Alligator mississippiensis: one gene and its partners. The protein of the gene in region 1 interacts with the protein of each later gene in a pairwise test. Links are inferred from orthologs where the notes say so. Each region holds a gene or a part of one and is shown in the gene's direction. Other genes may lie near its edges.

Evidence for each region. The genes of interacting proteins can lie anywhere in the genome.
Region 2: the proteins of CDKN1B (region 1) and CCND2 interact in binary tests that used the Homo sapiens proteins (3 or more experiments, as listed by UniProt). The two-hybrid records come from large-scale screens. The link is inferred for Alligator mississippiensis from reciprocal best matches to the Homo sapiens genes CDKN1B and CCND2.
Region 3: the proteins of CDKN1B (region 1) and CCNA1 interact in binary tests that used the Homo sapiens proteins (3 or more experiments, as listed by UniProt). The link is inferred for Alligator mississippiensis from reciprocal best matches to the Homo sapiens genes CDKN1B and CCNA1.

Annotation. Positions count from the first base shown.
Region 1 is NC_081827.1:137,609,404-137,617,199, forward strand, and holds the start of CDKN1B (cyclin-dependent kinase inhibitor 1B), read left to right. Parts: upstream 1-4,433; 5' UTR 4,434-4,784; coding exon 4,785-5,160; intron 5,161-5,946; coding exon 5,947-6,068; 3' UTR 6,069-6,077; intron 6,078-7,622; 3' UTR 7,623-7,796. UniProt on the Homo sapiens protein: Important regulator of cell cycle progression. Inhibits the kinase activity of CDK2 bound to cyclin A, but has little inhibitory activity on CDK2 bound to SPDYA. Involved in G1 arrest. Potent inhibitor of cyclin E- and cyclin A-CDK2 complexes.
Region 2 is NC_081827.1:142,428,538-142,436,275, forward strand, and holds the start of CCND2 (G1/S-specific cyclin-D2), read left to right. Parts: upstream 1-4,381; 5' UTR 4,382-5,089; coding exon 5,090-5,284; intron 5,285-6,951; coding exon 6,952-7,167; intron 7,168-7,738. UniProt on the Homo sapiens protein: Regulatory component of the cyclin D2-CDK4 (DC) complex that phosphorylates and inhibits members of the retinoblastoma (RB) protein family including RB1 and regulates the cell-cycle during G(1)/S transition.
Region 3 is NC_081824.1:420,989,185-420,996,786, reverse strand, and holds the start of CCNA1 (cyclin-A1), read left to right. Parts: upstream 1-4,245; 5' UTR 4,246-4,350; intron 4,351-4,366; exon of another isoform or gene 4,367-4,533; intron 4,534-4,542; exon of another isoform or gene 4,543-4,631; intron 4,632-4,900; 5' UTR 4,901-4,924; coding exon 4,925-5,074; intron 5,075-7,301; coding exon 7,302-7,545; intron 7,546-7,602. UniProt on the Homo sapiens protein: May be involved in the control of the cell cycle at the G1/S (start) and G2/M (mitosis) transitions. May primarily function in the control of the germline meiotic cell cycle and additionally in the control of mitotic cell cycle in some somatic cells.

The DNA of each region.
Region 1 (7,796 bases):
GTTGGAGTACTGGTAGTGGCCCATGATGTGCTCCACGTAGATGTTGCAGGACCAGCTGATGGTGTTGGACACCATGAGGCAGTTCATCAGCTTGGCGTAGTGGCGGGAAACATGGCAAGCACGCAGGACGTTCTCGTTGCTGGGGTCCCAGGCTCCAAGTGTTCCCATGATGAGCATGTCAACCGTCATGTCGTAGGCGCAGCCCCTCAGGATGTCGGCCAGCGGGACGTACTTCTCCCACTTGTGAGCCCAGATGTCGGTGAAGGCTTGGTGCTAGTTCTTGAAGGGGAGGGTTACGTCCATGATCATGACCTTCTTGGTCTCTTTGTTGGTTATCACGATGTCAGGTTGCATCTGGCTCTCGCAGCCCGGGACAGTGCGGTTCACAGAGATCTCCCCTGCTGTGGCCAGGATGGCCCTCACCAGGCAGTCCTGGACAGCATTGTGGCGGAGCTGCCAGGCTCTGGCATGCGACCTGCAGCTGCACAGCACGTGGGGGAGGGTCTCTACCGAGTAGCCACACCGTCAGCACCTCTTGTCCCGGTGACTGAAGCAGACAGCCCCGTTCAGAGGCAGGCAGTTGAGGCAGGCGCGGTGGAGGAAGCACCAGTCTGCAAAGCGCGTGAAGCTCCCGCTGGGCATGAAGTGATTGCTAGAGTCCCACTTTGAGGTGACGTCAAAGACCTTGCCCTGGTCGGGTTTGGCCCTCTGGTCGCTGGTGTACTTGTTTCGGACGGCTTCCTTCAGGAACCGCTTCAGGAAGGTCCTTGTGCTGGGCGTCATGGTGACATGGTCGGTGTGCGGGGCTGATTGCAGGGAGACTCCCAGCTCCCAGCACTCCTTGGACCAGGTCCAGGACTACACTTGATTTGAGCCTTTACTAACAGGAGCACCAAGTCCAAGTCAGAGAAAGAATCATGTCCCAGGTGTAGCAGGCTTGTACAATGGTTCCAAGGCTCAGCCCCACACCTGCCTGCCTTGGCCTCTCTTTTGGTCTCTTGTCTGGTGGGGCTGGGCCTTATTTTACTAGAAAAACAAACTGGCTGAACTGAAGAAAAAATTATCTTGGTTAAAGGCTGCAGTCCCCTAATTTAGATGCACTTCAGCTGGTTTGACCACCCTTGGATGAGTGGTTGTTGCTATTCCTAATTGTTTGTATTGTGTTAGCCTAGAGGAATCCAAGTCAGAAACCAGTTTGTGGGCCTGTGCATAAAAACAGAACAAAACCAGTGGTCTCTGGATGTATACTGGGCACATCTACACCAGACACTAAATGTGCAGTAGTCTAATACTACTGCTCAGTAACATGTCAGGAAACATCATGCTAATATGCTACTGTGCAGTAGTGTTAGGCTACTGCTCAGTTAGCATCACTAAAAAGCTGTGCATCAGTGCTATTGCACAGTAGTGCCAGTTCCTGCTCATTGATTTAGTACTTGGTTATATAAGTATCAAACTTAATGCACAGTAACTATGGTGCATTAATGCACGTGCAGACACGGCCACTGATTGCTTGTATTTCTGATTTTTCAAGTGATGAAGTTGAGCCAGTGCTGTTTTCTACTACAGGCAGATCCTGACACTATAAGGACACTCACCAGATAACCACCCTTTCATAACCAACCTGTCTGTTCCCCGCACGCCAGCCCCATCTGTCACTGAAGCATCAGGCAGTCCTGAGCAGGGCACACCTGGCTTTGCAGAACTACTTTTCTAAACTGGACAGGCTTAAAGTGCATATACCAGATGTGGCTCAGCACACTAAACACAGTTTGCTTCTCCAGCTGAGACAGTTGCAAGGAGTGTAAAATGGTACTTGTGTCCTGATGGCTGTGCAAGTTAAAACACAGTCTCAAAGACAGAAACAGCCGGGGGGGGAAGAAAAGAAAAGCCTTATTTGATATAAAACAGTGGAATGGGTGCCTGTATTGCCCACTCTTGCAATTGTATTGTAAGTTGTGCAATACTTTAAAAAAAAGCGTCAGTTCCTGCAGACATGAGTGGCAGTCTGCATTTGTTTTTCAAGTAAGTTGCTAGAACATGTGGTTGCAGAGAGAAGCTGGAAAACACAAACCAACTGCTACCTAAAAGCTGATAAAAAAATCCCATATTTTTTTAAGCCAGTCTCATGATTATCTTTTTTTTTGGCTTTACACACAATGTTTGAACACTTGGAGTTGGCAGTGCTGAGATATTCTGGGCATGACACACTGAACACAGACCATAACACTAGGGATGTTTGGCTCTGAAACGAACTGAAACTATGGGCCTTGGGCAAGTCATGTGAATTTCTCTGCCCTGGGACTGGTCATTGTTAAGAGTGGGAGGGGAATGGAGAAATAAGAAAATGTTCTGGATTTTTTTCCCCTTCACCCTCCCCCTAACCCCCCATGTGTTGCCTTATGAAAGTCACTTCATGCTTGTAAAACACTATTATGATGAAGATATAGTTGCTTCAGGAATACCCATAGGGGAAGCTTCAGCAGCTTAGACCCAAACTGGTGTGCGTAGGTGGAAAAACACTCAGCTACTTCAAAACCAGGCCAGTTGAGTTCTCCCCACCCCCATTGTATTGGCTTTTCACTCTTTAAAGGATTTTGTCTAAACAAGTTGTGTGCTACATGGATCCCTGCGAAGTCATGCAGAAATACAATCCCACTGATAGGGAAATTATGATCTCTTGCCTACCAAACTGAGGGGACCCTCGTTAGACTGCAGGGTAAAATGCCTGTGGCCCCCACAGGCTTCAATTCAAAGGTCCAGCCATTCCAAAGTTCAAGCCATTCACCGACAGCTAGCAGCATCTCCAGGGGGTGCTCGTTGTCCCAGGGGGATGAGATGATTCCTATGTCCCTGGAGAAATTCCCCACCCACATCCAATCATTCTGATAAAGGAAATGGCTTGGGATGGGACCAAGAACTGGGAAGGAATGGAGAGTGGTCCAGGGTCACTCTTACCCTCTTTGTACCTGGGGGCGGGGAAGACACGCGTGAGCTGTGATTCCAGGAGCACAGAAATATTGCAGAAATCAAACTGGCTTTGCCCCTGCCAGGTTGTTCCCACCTAGGGAGAGTCTCAAAGCCACTTCCTCCCCCAAGTCCTTTCTCCCTGAGGGGAGGAAGACACATGTGACCACGATCCGTCTAGCCCCCAAACGCTGTTCCTTAGCTGGCTGGCAAAAGGTGCACTGGCATGGAGGGGTTCCTTCTTCCTCCCCCGCCACCCCCCAACACATGTTAAACTATGAAACGAATGAAACTAGTAAGTAGTCAGTTTTAAAGCTAACAAAAGTAAGTTCTTGTTCACACAGTGTGGAATTAAAGTGTGAAACTCATTGCTGCCAGACACTGAGAAAGCTGGCAGCTCCACTAGATTCAAAAAGGGATTGGACACATTCTTGGAGGAAAGGGGCATCGGGAGCTATTGAGCATGGGAGTTAGGGGTACGGAACTTCTTAGACCTTAATTCGTTTGTATCTTGTTGAAGGACTAATCAGTTCCAATTCAATTGTGCAAAGCCCAATAGTCAAGTTCCAACATTTGACTGAGCGGAGCTCAATCCATAAATCTGTGTGGCTCCTCCCTCCCAAACCCATCTGTCTGGGGCTTTGGACACTCCCCAAATCCAGAAAGGTATCCTACATGCAAGCCCCAGGCCCAAAAGCCTTGGGGTTTAGATGTCCTAGACCTTAAACACTGTCCCAGACCTAGCTGTCCTAGACTTTAAACTGATCGGGGGGTGGGGGGGAAGTGTCTGGCTTGATCTTAGCATTTAAGGTCTGGGATAGCGGTCCCCAAACTGTGGGTTGTGACCCCAAATGGGGTGGCAACATCAGTGGGGTGTCCACATCCGAGGATGGGGTTGCTGCGGGTTGGGAGTGAGAGGCCGTGCTGAGGAAATCGGGCTGTAAATGGGGTCATGCTCGGGAAAAGTTTGGAAGCTGCAAGCGAGATGTGCAGCAGGGGGGAGAAAACCTCAGACCCCTTTTCAGCACCCGCCGCGTGACACGGGGGCAAGACGGACCTGACCAAGTCAGTAGCGAGCCTTGCGTGGCCACCGAGAGAGCCCGTGGGGACTGACACCCACCACACAACAAGGAGGCGCCCACATGCAACCCCCAGCTCCCCTCGGGGCGCTTTCCTTGAACTCCTGACCTCCGCCTGCCTCCCCCCGCCCCGGGTCAACACGTAACTCGGGCTCCCGCGCCCGGGTCCCCCCAGAGAAGAGGAGCAGGGCAGGAGGAGGGGGTCAGAGCTTCCCTTCAGCCCGGGGCAGGGGTAAAGCAAAGCAACCCCCCTCCCTGCCCCTAGCACAGCAGCTCGGGCCACCTTAACAGGGGCTGTCCGGGAGAGGCCGGGCGGGCAGATGGGGCGGCGCCCCGCGCTGGAGCCAATGGCTCCGCGGCGCTGTTTAAATAGACTGGGAATGTCAATCATTTTCTTCTTCGTCAGCCTCCCTTCAATCGCCATATTGGGCAAGCGAGAAGAGGGCTCGTCTTTTTCTTGTTTTTTTCCGCCTTTCTTTTGCACCCCCCTCCTCCCCCCGCTACTACGCCGCGCCTGTGACACCGGCCGCCGCTCGCCGCGCGCCCGGAGCTGCCCGCCTTGCTCCGGGGGGCCCCGCCGCGCCCCCTCCCCGCCCGCGGGGCTGCTTATGCGATTGCTGGCCGGGGCCGCGAGCGCGCTGCGGGCCACTCAAAAGAAAAGGAAAAAGAAGAAAAAAAGGGGGGTGGGGGGGAGCGCGGCGCGGCCACCCCCAGCGGCAAGAGGGGGGCGGGGGGGACATGTCCGACGTGCGCATTTCTAATGGGAGCCCGACCCTGGAGCGGATGGAGGGGAGGCAGGCGGAGCACCCCAAGCCGTCCGCCTGCAGGAGCCTCTTCGGGCCGGTGGATCACGAGGAGCTGAGCAGGGACTTGCAGAAGCACCGGCAGGAGCTGGAGGAGGCCTGCCAGAGGAAGTGGAACTTCGACTTCCAGCTCCACCGGCCCCTGCGCGGCCGCTTCGAGTGGCGGGCGCTGGAGCCCGGCGCCTCGCCCGACTTCTACTCGCGGCCGACGCGGCTGCCCAAGGGCAAGGGCGCGGGGGACACTCGCTGCGCGCCGCGCGCCGCCTGCGCCGACCCGGCCGCCGGGCAGAGGAAGCGGCCGGCCCCCGACGGTAACGTACAACCTCCTCTTCTTGCCTTGCGCACCTGCCCCTGCCCTGCCGCGCGGGCTTTTGGTCTGCCCTGCCAGCGGCACCCGCCCCTGGATGCTGCCCTGCCCCGGCACCCGCTTGAGTGGTTATTCTTTGCGGCACGTCTGCCCCTGCCTCTAATGCACGGCAAAAGGCGCGGGGGCATTGGCCCTTCCACCTGGGTCCCCCCCCCCATGCTCCTCTGTCTGCCCTGCCTCGCTCTCCTTCAACACCCACTTTACTATTCTTTTTACATCCGCTTGACTTATTATTATTTTTGTCACATCTGGCCCTGCTGCAGGGCAAAAGGCTTGTCCCACCTGAGTCCCCCAACTGGATGCTCCTCCGTTTTCCCCCCACCCAGGCTGGGTGCTCCAGCTGGATGCCCCTCTGTCTGCCCCCCTCTCGCCCCCACCCACGCTGGATGCCCCTCCATCTGCCCCCCTCTTGTCCCCTCCCTCCCTCGGCTCTACTTCCAGGGATTCCTAATGCAACAGCCCCAGGATCACAGCATCCCTGGGCACCAAAATGGAGAGAAGTCTTTTTCGACCCAAACAGGAAACCTTGTATCTTGCTTGAATCAGAGAAAGGACTCAGCCCCTAAGCTTTTTAAATGTTTTTTCTCCTGCCATCCATCCAGTCTGGGGCTTGTCAAAGGGGGGTGGGGGGGGGTTGGTCTTTTCTCTGTACCCTGGGTCCTGTGAGTGCATATCTAGCAGGAAATGTATTTTAACACCAGGTTCCCCCCCCCTTTTTTGCCCCCCCCAGACTCCTCTCCTCAGAATAAAAGAGCCAACACAGCAGAAGAAGAAGTCTCAGAAGACTCCCACAGTGCCAGCACAGTGGAGCAAACGCCCAAGAAATCCAGCCCAAGACAACATCAAACGTGAACTGTGTAGGTGGGTTCCCACTAGGATGTTGGTGTCCCAAAGAAATAGCGGATCTGAACAGGCAGGGAAGTGTGGAGTCACTCCTGCCCGTGTGTGTGTGTGTGTGTGTGTGTGTGTGTGTGTGTGTGTTGCTCTTTGAAGGCATTTCCAAAGGGGGTTTGGATGAGGCTGGCCATATTAACTGCATTTTGTTTGTGCTCAACCTTGAGAGATTTTTTTTTGAGGGGGGGAGGTGTCTAAGCAAGTCCTGGCTGTAGGCTGTTTATCCACAAGAACCTGGCTGGGGTGGCTTGGGTCACTTGGCTAGAAGGTGCTGAGGCCTCCTCTCCCAATAAGATGCTGGCAAAATGAGTTTCAAAACAGGCTCGCTCCAAAAAAAAAAAAAAAAAGTCAAACGACAAGTATTTTTTCCCCTTTTTGTTTGCTGCTTGGGTTTTTTTCTTGTTTTTTAGCTGGTTGACAATGTTAGCATTGTCTCTGGCTCAGCAAACAAGCCAGGGTGAGATCTCTTAAGTCAGTAAGGAGTGGAGAAAAAGTAAGGGGAGCACTTGGATTGAAATTCAGGGTGGGCAGAACATGTCTTCTACTTACTATCATCATCATCATTGTTATCATTATGTGTATTATTTATTGTGTATTATTTTTGGTTATTATTTTTATGCTGCTTTTATTATTGTTGTGATGATGATGATGATTTTAATAGGATGGCACCCTTCTTACTATGGTCATCATCATCACTAGTGTTATTTGTGTGTGTATTATTTGATATTTATTATTTTTATACTTCTAATTTTGATGCTGATGATTTTGAATACGCTGGCACCGTAGTGAGTGTCCAGGGCACCGAGGGGGTTAATGAGTTTGTTTTTTTGAAGCAGCCAGGGGCTGGGACGGCTAGGGCTGGCGGTTTGAAGGGAATCGAGGTTTTTTGGTTTGTTTTTTTTAAGAAAAAGGGAGGTTTACAGACATGCTCGGTGCCGAGCAGATGAAGCTGGAAAGCAGAAGTGAGCACAAATGAGCCCCGCTGGGGTAAACGGGGCCAGGAACACGTCAGCATGATGTGTATGCAAATAGCACTACTACTGTCTGTTTATTTGGGTGAGGGAAGGGGAAGCGGAGCCGCGGCGAGCGGCCGCACCAAGGGGTTAAGTGTGGAGGGAAGAGGGCTCCTGCTTTTCTTCTCGTCTGTGTGCTCCCGCGCGCTCCCTCGGGGCGGGGAGCTTCGGGAGTCGCCGGCGCCCCGCGCACCGGCCGCGAAAACAGCTCCGGCTCCCCTTCCCCCTCCCGCAGCCGAGCGCCACAGACCTGGTGACTCGGTGTCCGAGCCCTGTTTACAGGCGCGGAGGGAACCACTCCCATTTCCGTGGGCCGGGGGAGGCGGCCTCGGGTGTGTTGTTTTTCCACAGGGCTCTGCCCCTCTGTTCCCCTGCCTGGCACCACACCCGTTTACAAGCTTGGGGCCAAAACTGCGGCCCTCGATCTGGGGGCTTTCGGAGTAAAGCTGCCTCCCTCCCAGCCCCCTCCGCTAATACCTGCCCTTGTTTTTCCTTGCAGAGTTCATCTGCATTTCCTCCTTCATCTGGATGCCCCAGTGGTGGATGAAGCCAGGGAGATGTAAAGGTCTATTACAAATTAATAAAAAAAAATACATATCGTTGATTCTCCATGGGATGGAGATCTTGTACAAGCACTGAAGAAAAAACAAAACAAAAAAAAAACACAAAACGA
Region 2 (7,738 bases), about 4.8 Mb from region 1:
AAAGATGCAGAAGGCAAAAAAGGAAGAGCCTCCCTTATTTTCTGGAACATTAAATAATAAAATGGCAAGGTTCTTTGGGTAGATGTGATCTCTTTTATTAGACCTCCTGTCACACTTTTAGCTCGATTCATTCCTTGGCGATCTCAGAAGAACAACAGAGACTCCCTATGCCTGAAGAAGGGTGCTTGTGCCTGAAAGCTTGCAAAGAACATCTTTCCACCTACTCAGTTGGTCTAATAAAAGATATCACATCTACCCAAAGCACCTTACCTGCCTATGTCCTTAGACCAGCACAGCTACAACCAAAAACCCTGCAAATAATAAAATAGCATTTTTATCACTGTGTTGTTCATCGTTTCATAGATGTTAGGAGCTGGAAGGGACCTTGCTCCTGATTATTAATATAAAGGGAGGTCCCTTCCAGCCCCTAACATAGTTTTATAGAGGTTAGGATTAATATTAATCAGGAGCATCTGGTCCAGTTCATAGTTGCTCTGCTCCTGATTATTAATATAAAGGGATAACGGTACTCAAAGTGAATGGAAAATTATTGCAAGGGGGGGGGCAGGGGAGGAGGACGTTCCTAAAACTGATGCCAATCGCTTTTTTTGATCAGATCGCTGCCTTTCACAGGATGGCAACAGCACTAAGAGCAGCACAGCACCCCCTCCAGTACAGAGCGTGTGGCTTCCAGCATCACATACTATAACACTGTGCAGCAGCAGCAGCAATAGGCGCCGCTTTCCCGAGGAAAAATGATTCCCACGTGAGCTGGCAGGATGACGTTGAATTTCCGCGAAAATCCAGCATGGTGCGGGCTGCAGCTGGACTGGAGACATCGCTGCAGGGAGTGATTTAGACACTGGGAGGGGGGAGGATCTTCCCCACAACCTTTCCAGACACTGGTGTCAACTTTATAAGGTGTTGGCATACAAAGATATATATTCTGACAGCGTTTGATTGAATCATTTATGCTCTGAACCCGCCAAAAGAAGGGAGTGTGTGCGCGAGAAGGGGGTTTCTTTTTTTTTTTTTTTAGGGGGGGATGGGGGACTTGCTATTTAACATATGGCACTCGATAATCTCCAAACTGAGACTGTTAAAACATCTGCTGTCTCAAAATGTGATGTATTAAGAAAGTAATAATAATAATAACAGCCTAAAAACGGATTGCCCATGGGCATAAAGACCACATTACGAACCAAGTGGCTGGTGCAGCTTTGGTCTGAAACTGAGCAAGAAACTCCCAAAGCAGTGAGGAGAAATGACCTTTTTTTTTTGCTCCACAGCACAGAAGTGCGTCTCCGGGTGTAGGCATAGCTGCAAGCCCCGTGGCCACCCAGAGTCAAAACAAAACCCTCATCTCGACCCGACGGAGGAAAATGAGAACCACACGTTAGCGGCTCAGACATGAACCCGAAAGCAGGAGCTTGGACTTGGTGGCTTGCAAGGAAAGGTTGGGCAGTCCCTGCCCTGGCATGAAGTCGGGTAACTCTTTGCTCCCAGGGCGGGGAGAGGAGCATTTTTGCAACAACAAAAAAATTAAAAAACAAAAACAAAAAAACTAAATATAATACTTTGAATGAGAGGCACCGAAGTAAGAAAGCTTTTAAAATAAGATTTCTCCCCCCAGTGATCTCGCTTTGATCCTGAAACTGGAGGGCAATATCCATGGGGAGATGACAGGAGGGGGATGTCACCTCGTTTCTTGTCCTGGTGTGTGAAGGACACCCCCAGATGTGTGCTCGTTTCTTTTCCAGATGTGTGCTGTGTGCCCACGGGACCCCTCCTGCCTCTTCCTCCTGAAAAGCCAGCGCCTTTGCAAAGTCACTGGTCTTTCCCCCTTTGTCCTGATCAGTGTCACATCTGTACAAGGACATCCATCTCCCCGCTCCCCAGTGAAAATCAAATTCAAGCACAAGCCCTGGCTTGTTCGGGCTCCCAAGCTGGAGCAGGGCGTTTATGAATTCACTCCGATGAGTTTGGAGAAGGCAAACGTGCCATTGACACAACGCGCTCCCTGTTTACAGGAGCAGGCGGGCAATAGGGAAGGGGGAATGAATGGGGGGAGTTTAAAGAGCCTTTCATTGAGTAGCATGCCGCTTTTTAATAGCTCCTAGTTCATAGACCTCAGTGTATGTGCAGGGGTGGGGAAAGCTCCCTCCCTTTTCCCTTTCTCCAGGGGCAGAATACAATGCGGGCTTTGCACAACACAGCTATGTCCACCGCTTCCTACCGGGGACTTTTGATTGACAACCGCCCAGCTGATGCCATTATAAGGAGGCAGGAGGGGGGGAAATGTAGTGCCACTGCGATTTGTCGGGTGCCTGCATCCGGGGTTTCCTGGATGCGCACCCGGCCGCAGCCCCCTGCTCCTTTGGGGAGGAGCTGGCAAAGAAAATGAGGAGGGTCTCCCAGGAGGAGGGCTCTGCCGGCCCAGCAAGAATCAGCCGCACTGTGGGTTGGAGTCCAGAGGCGGGTGGGTGTTTCTTAATAAAAGAAACACGGGCATCATCGACTCAACATCTGGCTAGTCTGGGGCAGCCCCCCAGCACTGTGTGCTTCTATACTATAATAATATTGATATTGATAATAATGGTGATAATAATAACTCTCCTTATGACTTTATTCCTAAACCATCTGGGGCAACCCTGTGTGCCTCTATTGCTATAATAATATTGATATTAATAATGATAATGACGATGATAATAATGATGATAATACTACTAATAACTCTCTTTATGACTTGATTCCTAACCTGTCTGGGGCATCCCCCCAGCCCTGTGTGCCTCTATGCAAGAATACTGATAGTAATAATGACAATGACGACAATGATGATGATGATAATGATCATCTTTATGATCTCTTTATGACCAGCCCCCCAGTCCCGTGTGTCTCGATTGCAATAATCATATTGCTATTTATAGTGATAATGACGACGATGATAATAATGATGATGATATTATTACTATTATTATTATAGCTGTCTTTATGCCTTGATTCCTAATCTATCACAGCAGCTCCAGCCTCAGGGCAGGCTGTTTCGGTTTGCCCCGCAGTTTGGCGGGGCTGGCTGCAGGCTCACGCCGCAGTCGCTAATTGCATGGATTTATTGAGTTGCGGGAGATGAAATCCCAATCCCCCCCGACGGGTGAGGTCAGTAGCGGGTGGGTGGGTGGGTTCCCCCCCTTGCTGAGTTTCTTTGATGTAGGGAGGGACAGCTTCTTCCTTAAAATATAATCTGCCCAGTAACAATCAGCGCGCAGCAGCGAGAGCCCCAGAGCTATTGGCTATGCAAATAGAGGGAGGGGAAGCGGCTCCCCAAACTCTCAACTCACACTTTTAAAGTGATATTTCGCTCCTTCCACCCCACCTCCATCTTCCTTGGGGGGAGGAGGAAGGGATCGCGAGAAGCCGGGCTCATCCCAGGCATCATGTATCCCCTGCCTGCCCACCTCTTTCCTTCTCCTGCAGCCCCATCTGCATTTCCCCATAGGACCCTATGGGGTCCAGCTGCTGCAAGGGACCGAGCAAACCCCACGCACCCTCCCCACCGCTGCCTGGCCCCAGAGGGAGAGGGGCGGGGGGGCGCTGTGCGTCTCTGTCCGTAGGGGAAAAGTTACACATCCCTGGGCAACTGGGGACAATGTAAGACACGCCAAAAGAAGCCAGAGCATGAGTGACTATGAAAGCAAATGAATCAGAGCCGGGAAAGCCCAGGGCTTGGCCCGTGCAGCGGGGCAGCGGCCTGGCCAGCAGCGAGAACAGCTGTGTTGCATGCAGCGCGCAGCGGCGAAGGGTGGAAGTCGGGACCAGTCCTCCTCCCCCTTCTCCTCCGCCTGCCCCCCCTCCGTGTTTCCTAGAAAGTTATATCAGCGTGTGAGCATGCACTGGTAGAGCAGCTCTGGGCGACACACACACACACACACACACACACACACACAGTCGAGGAAGCTGCATTGTGGCCACTGCTAGCTCCCTCCAGACATCAGCGTTGCAAAGTATATACAGCCACCAGCACAGCCTCGGGACTCTGCTTTTGTCACCTTCTGGTTTGCCTTTCACTGGCGAGCAAAGTGTGACTGTTGTCTCCCGGTTGCAGATGAGAAGACTCATTTGGGGAGGGGGGAGGAGAGGGGAGCTGGAGAACTGACCCTGTGAGCACCAGCTCCTCTGCGAGAGCTGCACCGAGTAAGGACATTTCCTATTTCACGACTTCCCTCCCCCGCAAAATGAAAGCCCCGGGTGTTTAGGAAGCCAGTTTCCTCTGGCGAGAAATGACTAGAGACCCCGTTTGGCTACTGCGGAGGGGAAGGTTGGAGGGAGGAAGGGGGAAGCTGCTAGTAAGGGGGGGAGAGAGAGTGTGTGTGTGACACACAGTGTGTGTCTGTGTGAGTGTGTGTGTCTGTGAGTGTGAGGCATTGTGTATATGAGTGGGTGAGGCAGTGTGTGTGTGTATAAGCGTGAGATGTGTGTGTGAGTGTGAGGCATGGTGTGTATGAGCATGAGTGGGAGGCTGTGTTCATGAGTGGGTGGCAGTGTGCGTGACCGTGTGTGACACTGTGTGTATGAGTGAGACTGTGTGTGTGACGCTGTCAGAGGCTGTGAGAGACACACATTGTGTGTGTGTATGAGACTGTGTGTGACACTGTCAGAGGCTGTGTGTGAGAGACACACAGTGTGTGTGTGTGTGTGTGTGTGTGTGTGTGTAAGAGAGAGAGAGAGGGGGGCTGTGCATGTCCCCTCTGCGCCGGGGCCTCCCGGCCCTTCGCTACCCCGGAGAGGACAGAGCGCGGCGAGGAAGGCGCCGCCTGTTACGTCTGCCCGGCCGCCGCGCTCCAGCCCCGCGAGCGCCAGCGCTGCCTGCCCCGCCGCCTTGCGTCACTTCGCTTCAACTTTAGGCTAGAAATCGAGGAGAGCGAGAGAGGAAGAGGGGGAGAGAGAGAAGTTTCAAGGGAAGCAGGAGCGAGCTGCCTTCCTCCCACCCACCTACCCTCCTCCTCTACCCCTCTCCTTCCCCAACCCCCGCCCCCTCCCCCCCCAAAAAACAACTTTTCCATCCCAGAAAGAGGGAGCTCTCTTAGGAAACATGGAGCTGCTGTGCTGCGAGGTGGATCCCATGAGGAGGGCTCTCCCTGACCCCAACTTGCTCTACGACGACCGCGTTTTGCACAATCTACTCACCGTGGAGGAGAGGTATCTGCCCCACTGCTCCTACTTCAAGTGCGTGCAGAAGGACATCCAGCCCTTCATGCGGAGGATGGTGGCCACTTGGATGCTGGAGGTTTGTGTGCACCCCCTCCCCACCGCCGCCCAGCCTGGGCCGCCCACGTCGGGGCAGCAAGGGGGCTTCTTTGCTGCCTCTGCCCTCCTCTTTTTTTTTGCATGCTTCTGCTTTGCTTGATCCCTTCTGCAAGAAGGGGGATCCTCCGCTAGGCTCTGTTGTCCCCCCCTTTTTTTACAAGTTGCCCCCACTTCTCTTTTGCAGACTTCTGCTTTGCTTGATCCCTTTTGCAAGAAGGGGGGACCTTTCCTAGGCTCTGTTATCCCCCCCCCTTCTTTCCCCTCTCTTTCCTCTTTTTTTTGCAAGCTCCCCCCCCCACCCCACACACCCTTTTGGCATGCTTCTACTTTGCTTGATCCCTTCTGCAGGAAGGGGGGGAGGGTCCTTTGCTAGTCTCTGTTATTCCCCCCACCTTTTTTTTTTTGCAAGCTTCTGCTTTGCTTGATCCCTTCTGCATGATCTCATTTGCAGAGTTGGGGCTCCTTCCCCTCCATGCTTTGGGGGGGGGGTGAAATGGCGCACGTGTGTGTGTGTGTGTGTGTGTGTGTGTGTGTGTGTGCGCGCAGCCTAAGGGTGCAATAAAAAGCTTGCAAAGAGGGGTGCAAAAAAAGAGAAGGGGGTGCAGAAAAGTGACCGAGCCCGGCCCTGTGCAGCCGCCCAGCCCTTCTGCTCTGCCCCCTGCGGGCCGGGGAGCTGCCCCGGGGCCGAGCCCCGATCCGGAGGGCCAGGGGGTGCCCGCCCGAGCAGAGCTGCCCCAGGGGCGCCTCTGTGCCCACGTATGCAGCGCTCAGGACGTGCCCTGCTTGCGCCATGTTGCTTTGCATGCAGCCCTGCTCCCAGGCCAGCCGTCCCCCACCTTGCTCAGGGGCCGGGGGCTGCGTGTGCTGGGGGGGGGGGGGCATCAGGAGGCGCCCCGGGGCGCTCCCTCCCTCCATCCCCCACCCCGGGCAGCGCTGCCCGCGCCCCCCAGCCGCAGCCCTGCAAGCCCCGCGCTGGGCCCTGCTTTCCTTTGCCCCGGCCCCTCTCTTTCCCCCCAGCCCATCTGCTCCGGGGGGGGAGCTACAGGGTGCCCCCCTAGCGGGCAGGGAAGGGCAGCCCCCCCGCTTGGTTTTCGTGCCACTTCTGCCCCTTTTGCCCCTTGCTTGGATTTTTGGTGAATTTTTGAAGTCGTTCCCCCACCCGCCGCTGCGGAGCCCGTACCGCCCCCGGGCGCGTGGTGGGCGCGGGGCAGGGGCGCAGCCCCCGCGCGGGGAATTTTTTCAGGAGGGGTGCGGGGTGGGAGGGCGGCCGGGGGCGCCAGCCCCGCAGGAACTGGGGGGCTCTGGCCCACGGGGGGATTTTTAGGGATTTTTGGAAAATGTGACGAAATCCGAAAAGGCTGAAAGAAAAGTGGAGGAAGGTTGAAAGAAAATATATAGGTACATGAGCATCATGGGGTTGCCCAAGCTCAGTCTTTGGGCTCCCACACAGTGCCTTGAATTCATTTCTTAGTGAATGAACTGCAGGAATGCAAGAGGCCAGTCTCCCCGCCCGGGCAGCCCTGCCCCAGCGCCCCTCCGCAGCCCCTCTCCCTGCTCCCCTCCATGTGAGCATTCATTTTTTGTTGTTCTTCTTCCCTCTCCACCCTGCACTACTCTTCTCCCGTTCCCCCTCCTCCTTGCTTGCAGGTCTGTGAAGAGCAGAAGTGTGAAGAAGAGGTTTTCCCCCTGGCCATGAATTACTTGGACCGATTTTTAGCTGTGGTGCCCACCAGAAAGTGCCATCTTCAGCTGCTGGGGGCCGTCTGCATGTTCCTGGCCTCCAAGCTAAAAGAAACCATCCCCCTCACTGCGGAGAAGCTTTGCATATACACGGACAATTCCATCAAGCCCCAGGAGCTGCTGGTAAGCAGCCCCCCCGACCTCTACCTTCAGTGCGCCCCACGGTTACAGCCTCCTCCCCCCACTCACTCTCTCCACCAAACTTAAACCACAGCCTTCATTTGTGCCACACACTATTCCAACAGTTCAAGACCTTTCTGCCCCCTTTATGACCATTAAGGCGATTCCTGGAGTGGAAGGCACCCCCCACTTTTAAAGCATTGCATTTTTTACATTGTCAGGTTGTGGAGACTCCTAGCCCTTTTCCATTTATTTCATGGATCCCAGGACCAGCAAATGTCCTTCTGGGGCATTTGGAGGGATGGTTGCATACTTTTTACAGCTGTATCCATCTTTTTAATAGAAGAGCTCTTCTTTGCCGGCATGCACATACATATATGTACATGTGTTTAAATGGGAATGAAACTTTCTGAGCAGAGTTCTTTTTAAAGGTGCTTACTTTCTGGTGCTGCACTGCCATCCAGTGTCAAACATGCACAAGTAGAAATGACTTCACCTTTGAACCACTGCCAGCATCTTTTCTCTTTGCAGTTTCCTTTCTGCTTTCAGTTTCAAAGGCACTGTCTGCACTATG
Region 3 (7,602 bases), on another chromosome or scaffold:
AGGCCACTTATAGCCTATTCTGTAAGCACTTAAGCATATTCTTGACGTTACAATTACAACTAGTTCCAGTAAAGTCAAGAGAATTCCTCTCTATGTAAGTCTACACACATTTAATTTTTGCACAATTAGTGTCTCAGTTTGAATTTTCCCAAGGATTGAAATTTTTTGTATTGAAACGTTTAACAAATCTACACAAGATGGGATCTTGCATGTCATGAAAGTCTGCATAAAATATGTTAACATAGGGGTTCCTGATCATCTCAACCAAAAAAAAAGAGGACTGTACATCATAATTTTCTAGCCCTATCCTGCAGCATTGGTGACCTTTATGTGATCATTTCCTCTAGTCATTACAGTTCCCCCATATTATTTTCCCAACCATCTAACTTCTCTAAAGAACACAGAGCTCCAAGGATCCATTCTGACTGAAAGTAAAACTGCACACAGATGATGTCAGATACTGACATCATGTTTTCTATCTGTGAGACATACCAGGAATTCTCTGTTGGTGGCATTCACATTTTAAATGCTATTATGCCATTTTTTTAGAAAAGAAAAAGCTAAATCTACCTGGATCTGCTGATCTGTAACTCCAAGCTCCCAAATATCATCACAATTTAGATGTCTAGCTGCTCTAACTGCACCTACATAAAATTAAGACCCTTTTGCATTCTAGAGTATATGCACTGCAAAGAACCCAAGTCTGGCACTAGAAGCTTGGTGGATCCACCCAAATTTTGACCCAAGCCCCCAAAGCCAATGCCACCACACAGAGAATAAGTTTTGTAGCTTGTACTGCACTAAAGGATTCCAGACCCCAGTTATGCAAAAACCCATGAATCCCCCAAACAATGGGATGTAGCAAATCTAGCTAATATTTGCCTTTTTCCTATATTCCATACTACATATAGAAGAATACTGGATCCTGATGCATTCAGACACATGAACACTGCAAAATTCTGCATCTGGAATCTCCCTGCAGTCAGTCTGATGATTTTTGGCTTCAAGCTCCAAGTTACACAAACATGTAGGGCTGCTTCTGTTTCACTTGGGGAGAGGGGTGTGGGGATGTTGGAGGGGGGACCTGGACCCTCTTTTGGATACCAGTCCTATAGCACTAGAAAACACATATTTGGCAATAGAAGTCTGCCAATTTTTTAACTACAGCCTCTCAAATTCTATTGTCTAAATCAAGAAGAAGATATAGGAGTTCCTAATGAACTGCCAAATCCAGACTCTGTTGTAACAGTCAACATATGCATCTAAAATCCCAAACCTCAAAATGGTACCAGCTCAACAGGGAAGGATAGATGCTCTACTCTCACTCAAAAATTCAGATCCTGGTATATCCCTGTTCAATAGCACCACAAAGATACTCAGCATTCTTAGCCTGGTGAATCCTGCCCAAAGCCCCAAACTGTATAGTCAAAAAAGCACATTATCCTTTAGAAAAATGCTGGCTCTAATACACACCAGTGCAAAAGCAACTCAAGAATATGTACCTTGCACCTGGGTCCTGTTGGATTTGACCATTTTTGGCTACAAAGCACTTTTCAATTTCACTGCATAAATACAGATCAAGTACAGGCAGTCCTCGACCTACAGTGTTTCCAGTTACGTTTCACACTTACAATGCTTATAAATTGACACTGTTTCAACTTTCTGACATCAGTTTAGACTGTACAAAGCTTGATCCGATGCAATGCCATGCCAGTGAACACATTCACTGCATCACCCATCTCCCTGGAAAACATCTGTCCAAGCTTCCTTGGACACTTTCTTTAAGAAAGCAGCCAAGGCTCCAGAAAAACCTGCAGCCAAGACTCCTGAGAAGACTCCAGCCAAGAGCCCTCAAAAAGTCCAGCAAAGTCACCTCAAAGAAGTCCTTCCAAATCAATGTGATTGCTTATTACAATATAAATATGCTAATGTAGCTATATTACTCATCTATAATTGATTGAGTACAAAATTATGGGTTATTTTTGGTTAAAATAGGGTATCGGGCCTTGGTTCAGGAACCAATCCCCCATTTATAACATTATTTCCTATGGGAAAATCAGTTTCAAGTTACAACATTTTGACTTAAGATGAAGTTTTCAGGAACCAATTGTGTCATAAGTCGAAGGACTACCTGTATAGTCACTCCTGCAAAAAAAATCTGGCCCCTCATCACTCCTAGCACACAAACACTTGAAAAATCCAATTGCAGATCTAGGTCCAGCAAATCTAACTTGTATTATCACCATCATCACAAATTTTATCTTCTGGACAGATAACAAGTACAGCTATGCATGTGCATTGGATAAATCTGTAGGTAATGTGCTTAGATTTTTTCAACCTAAGGGATTTTTAGACCTGTATAACATTAGAAATTATTTACAATTAATGGAATTACAGTATGTAATTCCTTTACATTGTTTTGATTATCTCCATAAATTACTAACCCATCAAGTGTTTAAGCTAAATTACACAACCACTGGACCAGTTCCATTGCAAAATATACATACATAATATGACATTTGGAGGTACGGTATCTAGACAAAGTGATGTCAGATATAGGCTATTATGGTTTCACTGAAACACAACATGTGGGATACATATTGCATAACTACATTTTGCTATATTGATGCAACCTTTTTTCTCTATTTAGACAATTCTACTTTGATGAGGAGGGAGGGCTGAGGTTAAAAATTGGCAGTGTGAAACAGGATCCTAGAACCAGATATATGCTTTTCTAGTGGCATTAGGCCAGCAAGCATCAAAGCTTGAATTTTATTTCATTAATATGGGAGAAATGATGCTTGTTTTCTATTTAGATGTATAATCTAAACTATAATTTGGGCCCCCCAAAATTGCAAAGTTCCAACTGGATTCAATCCTGGAACCAAGTTTTTGCAGCACTGATCCATGGGGGTGCATCCAGGTCCATTGTTTTTAGTTGATTTTTTTCTGTTGTTGCACTGCAATAGTGGTAGCTACCTTTGTTTTCAGTTTAAGCCACAGAATATGTATTGGGGCCTGGATGAATGTGAGGATCCATATTCCAGATCCTGCTTTTTGCAGCCATCCCATACTGAGATGCAACGGTTCAAGGACTTTTGTTAGTGCAGTGAGACAGATTTATTTGTTCTTGAAACGCTATAAAGTTGGGTGTTTAGGGGCAACATTTGATGAGATTTAGTAGGTTTCAGTGCTCAGGCTCTGGGTTATGCTGGCACATAGATTTTCTGTGCCAGAAGTGACTAGTCTAGTTGTATAACGTAGGGTCTTTCTACATCCAGGTTTATTATTTTTGTGTCCTTTAGAGGTGCATGGGTTTGAGATGAAGACTGGACCCCAGAGTGTTCACCACCCCTGCATTTGTGCATCATGAGAGAGTGTCATTGCAAAGAATGAACACCACGGGGCCTTTCCTTACAGTCGCTTCTATAAGCGCTGCACCAAAAGGCAGCCAAAGGGGCCTTGTGTACACTGCAATTACTTGCAACTATTCCAGGCTTCATTAGGAACTGTCCCGGGGTTTGCTTTCACTCCCCAATGGCTCACACAGCTACAGATGGCTGCAGGTGACTGGAAATCAGAGAGCTGCTTCTCTGCACTGATGGTTAGGAAGGAGATAAAGGATACACAGCTGAGGGGACAGCAAAGCCACCGCCCTTGGACAGGGGGCTCCCAGGCGGTGGTTGGGACAGGATCCTGAAGGCACTGTGTACACAGGATCCTGTGTATACGTGTGCGGAATCACCACGTGTGTAATTAGTGTGTGAACACACATAATCAGCGTGCATGCATTTAGTCAGTGTGTACATACATGTAATCAGTGCCTGTATGCCCCAGTGTGCAATCAGTGTGTCATCTATGTGCCACCTGTGTAACCAGTGTGTGCATACATGTGTATAATTGCGGGGAGGTGTGCAATCAATGCCCCTGTGTGAGTGTATTATCAGTGTGTGTGTAATCTAGCCAGTGCGTCTACACCTATGTAACTCGTGTGCGTGCGATCCGTACGTGTGTGTAGTCTGTGTCCGCACCTGCGTAAGAAGGGCGTGTGCATCACCAGTGTGTAAGGTGTGTGTGCAATCAGCGCGTGCCCGCGGGGCTGTGCGTGCGGCGCGGCCCGGGGGCGGCTCCGGGCCCAGGACGCCAGGGCGGGCGGCGGGTGCGGGCCCGCGCCGCGGTTGCCAGGGCGGGCGGCGAGAGCGGCCCGGGCCGCGGTTCCAACTGGCCCGCACCAACAGACGCCGCCGGAGCATCGGCCAGCCCCGCGCCGCCCCCGCGCGCTCATTGGCCCCGGCTATATAGGCCGGGCGGGTCGGGTCGGGTCGGGCCGGGCCTGAAGGCGGGGCGCAGGTAATGCGGGGGCGCTGCCCGCTCACCCACCCATCCACCCACAGCGCCCCTTGTCCTTGCTCCCGCCAACAGTGGTGCTCCCTGTCTCCACTGCTTTGAGCCTACACAGATCAGGCTCAGATCCCAGGTGTTCATTCCCGCCGCTCCTCCCCCCCGTACTGATCTCAGCTGCTGGAGATCAAGGTGCAAGCTGTAGTCTATTTGGTTGGGGTAGTAAAAAGAGCATGGAGGAAGGCTGCTGCTTCTCCACTACAGTGTATGTGTGCATGCATAGGTGACTGGTAGGGGTCCATGTGTCCTCCCCAATGACCAATACTGATGCTGTCGGATGGGCTGGTGCCCCCCCCCCCCCCAGGGCTGCTGCCATTGGTGACTTCTGTGGGCGCCCCCCCCCAGATTCAGAAGGCACCAGTCGTGTGTGTGTGTGTGTGTGTGTGTGGGGGGGGGGGGGGACACAGGAGGGAGAGATACCAGGGAGATGATCAGTCTTGGAGGAACAACTAACCTGCTTTTCTCTTTCTTTCATGCTGTCTGTCTCTCTCCCCCCCAGCTCTCTGCTGCTGACTTGGAGGCCATGCGGTGCAGCGAGGACAAGGGTGGGGTCTCCCAAGTGGGGAACCGGGAGCCCCGCCAGGCTGCAGCTCCTTCCAGCCAGCCTGCCCTGCAGAGGGCTGTGCTTGGGTTGCTGACCGAGAATGGACAGTGCCTTCGAGCCTGTAGCCAGGTAACTCTTGGAGAGCTGCTGCTTACACTGGGGAGTGACCTGGTCTGACAAACTTTTTGGGTGCTGGTGCAGAGACAGTGTGAGCAGGGATGGTGCAGGTAGCTCAGCTGGGATGGTGCAGGGTAAGCCAGTTCTCAGGACTTCTGTGCTAGAGTTGGGGTGCTTCTGGGAAGGCTTGTTTCTCTTTGTGTCATGCACAAAGGGCCACTTCTGATGGGCAACTTCTGTCCTGTTGATGATCTCTAAACTTGGTTTAAAAAAAAAATGAAACCAATAAAACCTCACCCTGGTTCTGCAGACAAACCTGTAAAACTGAAGCATGTTGCTGTGATATTGATACACAGGTATCCCCTCTGTCTGTAGTACTCAAACTTCTCAAAGTCTTATCCCAACAAGACAGGTTTTTAGGTATCTAAAGTCCTAGGTACCTGGCTTGCTGATTCTTCTTCCCTTTAGCTAAAGTGGCTTCTGACTCCCAGCTCCCCTCAAAAGGGGCACAAGGTAACAACCCTCCCAAACAATGATATTGGGCATTTTCTTTTTAAACCCACAGCTTGGAAACATGTAATTTTGCAAGGCCTGGCTTTCACATTTTCAGATAAGCTTCTAGCTCATAGGAGTGGGGAAAGGAAAGAAGTGTTAAATGTGGCCTTGGCATAACCTAAAGGTGCAAACCAAAAAGTAAACCACCTGTTGGAGAGTCTTCAGTCATAAGCCAGTCTCTACTCGAAAGGAATATTTAGAATTAGCAGTATTGGGATTGACTTGGCTACTACATGCTATGCAGCATGGAGAGGAGACGGGTCAAGTGGCCATGAGGGGTGGGGGGCATTTGAAGGGCAGTGCTTCAGTTACTACCCAATAAGTAGGACTTCTCATGGTGGGAAAGAGGATGGCAGGGGCACTGCTGGCAAGCACTTAATATAGTGATGCTCTTCTTAACCTGCTCAATCTTTTTCCTGATAGGAAGGTCACTGAAGGGACTGTTAAGCAGCCTTTTTTAGATGCTAGAATGTGGGGTTTGGTGGAAATGCAGATGCTGCTGAACTGCCAACTACTGCTCTGTGCCTCCACGGTCATGTGGCTGCCTACAGGATTCCCATGTCGTGGCATGATGTTCCAGGAGCTAGAACTACTCCTGGGGGAAGCCTTTATTTTTGCCTTGGCCCCTCTTCCCTTGCTGATCTTATTACCTCTGGCACATCAGCTGGTCCTGAAACCTAAGGCTTGTAATACAAGTTAATGTGACTCTAGTACTGCACTGCAAAAATTGGCTAGAAATGCACTTTTCCTGTAATATGGTTACTATTCCTTTAGGGTGTCTGATAGCCACCTGACTGACAAAATAGTAAATGACTCTTACTTTCACTGACTACTACCTTTTTAGGTTTCACCTTGCATTGCGTGGTAAGAGTCATGCTCTGTGCCCTTCAAGCCTGTTCCTAAACAAAAAGATCCTTGTTTTCAGAAGTATGGAGAAACCACTGAAGCTAGTAGGCTTTCAGCATCACTTGTTTGAGTCTGTGTGCAGTTCTTGTTGGTATAGTCCACTAGCCTGTATTTATCCTAGCCATAGCTACAAACCCGATATGCCTGTTCATACTCCTGTTTACGTACAGTTGTGGGTTAAACTACAGTAGTCTATGCGGGGGAGGGGTCAGAGGAACAAAACAGAGTTACCACTTGTAATCTGCAGCATAATGTTATCTTATCCATGCAAACTGCTTCCCCCCCCCCCCCCAAAAAAAAAAATTCAGACAAAACGGTAAGCTTATTGGTAAAGCTGACAAATATTATTTCCTTTCCTTCCTTGTTATCTTAGTTTAATGCTTTCAAGAGTCCTAGGCTTCACTTTACAATTCGTATCTTTTAACTAACTAGCTTGAAATGTAGTATGAAACTTCAGTAACTCTCTGAGGCTGGTCCTCTTGCTGACATCTAATAGTCCCCTATGCTGCTTGTGCCGAAGACCAAACCTGGTATACAGTTAATACGCCATATGGCATAAAAGACTCGGCTTACAGCAAGAAGGCAATAAGTAGAACTTAAATACCAGTTGTTAATTGTAAGCTTTCTTCTCAGCTAACTTCTAGCTTTTTGATGCAAATAGTTTTCTCTAGTTGGTAACCTGCAGTGTTGTATAAAGTGGGAAGCTTTCTCTTAAAATGGGAATTGTTCTGTTCCCACCAATTCTCTCCCTACAGAATTACTCTCTACTCTGTTTCAGGGCACTACCATTATCAGGCACTTCTCGGGCTCTGAAAATACCTTTCCTCCAGGTGGAAAAAACACACGACCGAGCTGCATGGTTAATGCAACATCAAAGCAAGGGTTTGCTATTTACATAGATGAACCAGAGCAGAAAGAAAGATACAAGTGCACAGTTGTAGAAGAGGTGGAACCTAGCCTGTGTGAAGTGGCTTCTAGTACAGTGAAATCCAGTATTCATCTGCTATTGAATTTGAGCACAGGTAACTGGTCGTTGCACAAACCTTGCATATGACATTGATCTGTAATGTGAAGCAATT